Tribolium castaneum: one gene and its partner. The protein of the gene in region 2 purifies or fractionates together with the protein of the main gene of each other region. This does not show direct contact. Links are inferred from orthologs where the notes say so. Each region holds a gene or a part of one and is shown on either strand. Other genes may lie near its edges.

Region 1 (4,115 bases), on a different chromosome or scaffold from region 2:
TTGCGTTATCTCTTTGTGTAAACGCAGCTTTATCATTTTGGGAACACTGTAGTTCCATTCTGACCCAAAACTCGACAAAAAGTACTTTTATAATTGAAAAATAATAATTCGAGGTATTTGTGTAAGTTGTTAGTTATTTCAGCAATGATTTCACTAATTTTTTTTAGTTATGATGAAGTTCTGTGCCAATTTGTCCTTCATGTTCACGGAGCAGCCCTTCTTGGAGCGCTACCGCTTGGCCAAAGAGGCCGGTTTTCGGGCCGTTGAGACCGGCTTTCCTTTTGGTTTCACGGAAAAGCAAGTCGTTGATGCAAAAAACGGCGCTAACATCCAACAAGTCCTCATTAACACGTACACCGGCGATGTAACGAAGGGCGAACTCGGTTTTGCGGCAATTCCCGGCAAAGAACAGGAATTTAAAGACAGCATTCAGAAAACCATCACTTATGCGAAAAGCCTGGGGGCTTCCAAAATCCACATCATGGCCGGGAAAGTCGCCGATGTGACTGACGCCAATCATTCGGTTTACGAAACCAATTTAAAATATGCAACCAAGTTGTTGGAGCAGGAGAATATAATTGGGTTGATTGAGCCAATTAATAAATATTCGGTCCCCAATTATTACCTCAATTGTTACGACAGAGGTTTGGGGACGCTTTTAAGCCAAGTTTAGAGTTTTAAAACGTTTTTTCAGCTTTGAGTGTGGTGAAAAAGATCAACAGTCCGAATTTGAGAATCATGTTGGATGTTTTTCATTTGCAACACATCAGGGGGAATATTACCAATAGTATCAAGGATTTAGGGGGGTATATCGGGCATGTGCAAATCGCACAAGTGCCTAATAGAAACGAGCCTGATACTCCAGGCGAATTAAACTATGTTTATGTGTTGGAAACCTTGAAGTCTTTGGGGTACAATGACTGGGTCGGGTTGGAGTACAAACCACTTGAGGACACCAACAAGGGGCTCAAATGGGTCAAGAGTCTTGGGTACAGTCTGTAATTGGTGTCAATTGGGGAAATAAAGGCTGTTTTTACTTAATAATTTAATTTACAAAATTGACATTGCGTTCAAGATAAGATGGCCGCTTGTTTTTCTAGATTTTACAGCGGTAAAGGATTATTTCTTTCAAACAAATTTGTATTATTTAACTTAACCAAAGACAATATATCGTATAATTGCGAAAGCAAGTTAAAGGCCTTATTTTTTAGTATTTTTTGAAAAAAATTTACAAGGGCAATGCTTCGCCAACATAACGGGCTGAAATGTCACTAGCGGTGTGAGGTTAGGGGTGTTATTAGGTAACAAATAAATAAAAATTTGATGGCTTCCCTTTTGAGACAATTCACAAGGACCTTGCGGTCACCCGTGGCCCGCAATGGGGGTAAAATCTACAAATTTTCTCGTAGCATTTTTTTACTTATTTTTTCCAGTCTGTGCCACCGCTATCAGATTCAAACATTCGGAAGCAGCCCCTGCAGAAGAGACACGCCGTAAGTTACAAATAGTGCAATAAAAGTCTGAATTCAATCGTTGATTTAATTTAGATACGGTCAGAAAGCCGGACCTTTTGGCCCGCTCCCAGCTGAAAGACTTTGGAAAATACTGCGCTGAATGCCTTCCAAAGTACATCCAGAAGGTGCAAATCACTGCTGGCGACGAGCTCGAGCTGTTGATAGTCCCCGAGGGGGTGCTCCCTGTGCTGCAGTTCCTCAAAGACCATCACAATGCCCAGTTTGCCAACATAACGGATATCGCAGGCATGGATGTCCCGAGTCGCGAGTACCGCTTTGAGGTGATTTACAACCTCCTGTCTTTGCGCTTCAACTCCCGGATTAGAGTCAAGACGTACACTGACGAGTTGACGCCGCTTGACTCCGCCTGCGATATCTACAAGGGGGCCAACTGGTACGAGCGCGAGATTTGGGACATGTATGGGGTGTTTTTCGCAAATCACCCCGATTTGAGGCGGATTCTCACCGATTACGGGTTCGAGGGGCATCCGTTCAGGAAGGACTTCCCCTTGAGCGGCTATGTCGAGGTGATTGGTTTATAATTTTTTAAGACTTGGTTTGTCGTTTGCTTTATATTTGCCGCTATCCGAACGAGCTGATATTTTGCATACACACGTAACTTTCGTGACATAATTATGTAACTTAAAATAAGCAAACAAGCCCCTCTCTCAGAGGAATGAGGATATTAACGTCTGAAAGTTTCAAGTTGCAATTTTCCATACGCACTTATACATATTTACCATTTGTTACTAACATTTATAAATAATCTGGGCCCTTAAATTGAAGTATGAAGTCGGAACAACTTATAAGAATCATTCTATACTCCTATGAGAGTACTTCATGGCCATGTGTTCATTAAAAAAAACTTTAGAGTACTTTGACAACTAAAAAGAACAAATTTTCATAAAAATATTTATTTATTATTTATAAAGTCTGTTGGAAATGCCTTCCTTGTTGTTCAACACACATAACACATCGCCTTTGAACACTATTTATCAACTTTAGTTTATAAATTCTGGTGAGCTGGTTTAGTAGGCAACCAACAATACAATGATAAAAATTGTTCTACGACTTTCGCATGCTGCAAGTTTTTTTTTAAATGAACGCCTGATATTTTATTTTTTCAGTAACACTTATTGTTTTTGTCGTTTTTTAACATTTTTTTAAAATTTTAATCGATTTAGGGATTTTTGTGACGGTTGGTAATTTCTTAATTTGGAAAGTAGAAAATTGAAGTAGAATTTTTATTTTATCATCCAAATTCTGCAGAAAAACACGAATATGGATGATAATGAAGGTAATCTTGCATGGACGTGCCCTGAATTACATAAAATTGCCAAAAATACGGTAGCGAATTTGTTCCTGCCAACTTAAATTTTTTTGTAAAATGTTCAAATAATACCGTTGCGTTCGTTAATAAGCCTATTAAAGCATGAGAATGGAGTCAAATTACGAAAAATCTCATAACGTTAACATTCCCCTCTTTTCTTTTTTTAAATAAATTCACCTGTATCTAGTTGCCTGCTGTGGCTATACCTGTCATTATTAAGTCATGTCGGTTTGTGGTGTTCGTAGTGTTGTGATGATTTCTGATTTAAAAAGTGATTCAAATCTTGCGAATTTGTACTAGAGGTAAGAAGTTAAGTTGATAAAATCTGTGCGGACTTATTTCGACAAAAATTGATAAAGAAACCTTGTGTATATTGTACGCCGTATGAGCAACGACGCAACTGCATTTTTGAGGTGAAATATCTCAGAAACATTGGATTTCTGTGTAAAAGAAGAATGTTTGTTACAACTAAACCGTACTGTTAGCAAAATTTTAATCAAGAGATCATCAAGGCGGCTCCAATATTTCATACAAAAATTCATGAAATGGAGGGCTGGCATCGCGTAAATTCATATTCGGAAACTGCGCTGCCTGTATTTTGTGATTTTTAAGTCAAAGCAAGATATTTGTTTAGTATTTTACAAAATGTTACTTTCGTCACTTGTTGAACAATGTAGTACCGGGAGATTCTTGTCGTCAGGTTGGCAACAAATATGAAACAATAATTTGGCAACTTTGACCAACAAATTTAAATGTCAATTTTATACTCAATTATAATGTAAATATTATCTTTTTTTTATAAAAGCAATACACCTTGTTAATAAATTTCTTTAATTAACGCCATACAACTTGATTTTGACATTGACAATTGTTTATATAAAAAAAACGAATATAACTATTGCTCACAGCTTACAGATTTTATACTTCATAACACTAACCGCTTCCAAAGCAAAAATGTTCTCTTTTGATTTACTTTTTAACAATTTTTTTGTTACATATTTTGTAGGTGAGGTACGACGATGAGAAAAAGCGCGTGGTGGTTGAACCGCTCGAGTTGGCTCAGGAGTTCAGGAAGTTTGAGCTGTCGGCCCCCTGGGAGCAGTTCCCCAACTTCAGGAATGCGCCCCCCACTGCCGAGGAGGTTCCAGTAGAGGAGAAGAAGTGATTAGGTAAATGTTAAATAATAAAGTTGTGTTTTATGCAAAGACTTTATTTGTTTCCTAACAATGTTTCCGTCATTTGTACTGTAGCAAAACAACAGTCGGTTTTTT
Region 2 (2,446 bases):
CTTTTCATCACAGTCGCAATTACTTGTCCAGGTAATTGTTGCTAATTTTTAATGATATATTACGGCACCTATAATTCTTATGAAGTAACTTTCTAAAAATAGACGGAAGCTATTGATACTAATGAGAAGAAGGTTGTTTATTTGTTATCAGGATGTAATAAAAGTCGTATTCAACAGCAAGTACAGCGCGCTTGGAAGGAAAAATCGATTATTTCCCACATTCCAAAAAGGTGAATGTCTTCCACCTCTTTTGAATAAATCAATAGACATTTTTATATCGCTTGACTGGTTCCAAATCTGGAAATTAATTAGTTTTGTTTGATGTTGTTTCATGTGCTTTAAACCGTAACAAATTGATTGTTACAAAAATAACATTTAACAATCTTCAAAGAAACAGGATTTTATTAATTTTTCGCTGATTTTCAATTGGGGCCCCTGACTGAATTAAATTAAAAACCAAACGCCGGTACTTCTCGTCAAAATAACGCACATTTTCGAATAAAATAAATTAAACTCCACGGAAAACACGTGGTTTCATTCAGAATAAGACAAAAAAGTTTATACTTACATCAGCAGAAAAGAACTCTCGGGGTGTCCTACTGCATATCATTTTTGTAGTTTCTTGTTATTTGGAGTTTTTACAGCAAAAGGGTTAGAACAACACGAATGACAATAAAACTTAACCGAAACACACAACAATCACATATTTGTAAGTAATAGCAAACATTAATATTTTATTTAAAAGCAAAATAAAACGTTTTAGGTTAGGTTAACTAAATGAGAAAACGACCTACCACACAACATTCACCTACACAACTGAATTTTAATCAATATTTTCTTCTCCCATGGCTGTTTCGAGGGTTTATGCAACCAACCTTCCGCCAATGCTGCCAACCCAAATAAATATTTAGGCCGAACGAAAGAATTTTGATTTTGCTAACTTTCAGACCACTTGAAAGCATTTTGTAACATTTTGAGCACATTTTTTCCTAAGTTGTAGCAAAATTTGCATTTGACTGTATTTAAAATTCCCTCGCTACTAGCTACAGATCGCACAACTGCTTTCATACCCAAAACTACAACACTGCTCCTGTGCCCCGGATTTACTTCCAGTTCCTTTAAATTCGCCCAGTTATTTATGCTACAAAGGCTAGCTCTGAAGCTACTTTTTAAAAAATTATTACATAACGTCCGTCTATTGCACAAAAATACTAAAGTCCAGAACTATTCTATAGTTTTGACGCGTAGTCTAGTGGCATCCTTTTCTGGCGTATTGTGACGCGATTTGCTGTTTTTCTCACTTTCGCTCTTGTGTAACCAAAATTATTCATCGATTGAGGGAAGTACTGCGTATATTTTGACACTTTTGCCATTGACAGTGAAGTGAAGAGTTTATTTGTTGCAAGTTTTCCAACAATTAGGTAACCATGCAGGGAATGTCACTTCAGAGCCTCAAAAAGCACAAAGCTGTAAGCATTTTACGCGATAAATAACCTCTTTTCCAAGTTGTTTGTCTCAGTTGATCCCTCTGTATGTGTGCGTCGGCTTGGGCTGCCTGGGGGCTATTGGGTACACTGCCCGACTTGCCCTCCGCAACCCCGACGTCCAGTGGAACCGCAGCGGTGATATCTCCAACGAGGAATTTAGAAACAAGCAATATAAGGTATTTGCAACAATTGTAAAACTGATCTAATGTGTAATTTTTAGTTCTACTCCCCCAACATTGATTACTCCAAACTGGAGTCGCCCGCGCCCAAATACTAGAGGATTGAATGGAAATAGTCGTGTTAGATCAATGTGATTTTAATTTCAAATAAATTATTGTTAATATTTTGTTGTTTTCTGATCAAAATGGCCCGACTTTGAAATCAAGGTGGCAACAATGGGCCACAGGCCACTTTGATCAAAGCTGGTACTTTATTGTGCTTTAACTGAAGATCACAGTCACAGCTTCCTTGATTAAAGAAGGGACTTTCCCTTCACACGGCTGGCCGCATTGCTTAGTTCCCTGGCCTTTTTTTGTTTCTGAGAGGGAGCCACTATAAAGTAAAACAATTCTGACAGTTCTAAGACTTCTGAGGTTAAGTGCTGTCACCACTTCTGTCAGTGCAGAAGATTTTTAAAGCAAAAAGGCATTAGTATTAGTGGTCCAAATGTAATCTGGCCACATTTCACTTCACAGAACCTCAAAAATTACCGACATGAACACCTGAATGGTTTACATGCCACATTGCTTCATGTTAGTGAATTGCACACCCGATTAACCCCAAAAACCGAAAACCACCTAGGCGATTATTTCCGAGTTTTCATCGTTTTTGACTCGAGCACAAACACGAAGAACTTGAGGTGCACCACAGGGAGCAGTTATATCTCTGTATTACCTGGTGTAAAATTTTCATTAAAAAAATAAAGAATTTAGGCGAAAAGTGAATCTAGCGCATCACTA

Evidence for each region. Proteins that work in one complex are often made in the same cells at the same time.
Region 1: the proteins of ND-MLRQ (region 2) and ND-30 fractionate together in Homo sapiens (co-fractionation; 3 studies listed by BioGRID and IntAct, with this or other methods). This does not show direct contact. The link is inferred for Tribolium castaneum from reciprocal best matches to the Homo sapiens genes COXFA4 and NDUFS3.

Annotation. Positions count from the first base shown.
Region 1 is NC_087394.1:27,328,495-27,332,609, forward strand, and holds ND-30 (NADH dehydrogenase [ubiquinone] iron-sulfur protein 3, mitochondrial), read left to right. Parts: upstream 1-1,223; 5' UTR 1,224-1,323; coding exon 1,324-1,384; intron 1,385-1,433; coding exon 1,434-1,493; intron 1,494-1,547; coding exon 1,548-2,041; intron 2,042-3,850; coding exon 3,851-4,009; 3' UTR 4,010-4,049; downstream 4,050-4,115. Other genes in the region: Gip (putative hydroxypyruvate isomerase), read left to right, coding at 170-644, 695-1,002.
Region 2 is NC_087398.1:10,562,852-10,565,297, reverse strand, and holds ND-MLRQ (cytochrome c oxidase subunit NDUFA4), read left to right. Parts: upstream 1-1,308; 5' UTR 1,309-1,427; coding exon 1,428-1,469; intron 1,470-1,519; coding exon 1,520-1,663; intron 1,664-1,707; coding exon 1,708-1,764; 3' UTR 1,765-1,830; downstream 1,831-2,446. UniProt on the Homo sapiens protein: Component of the cytochrome c oxidase, the last enzyme in the mitochondrial electron transport chain which drives oxidative phosphorylation.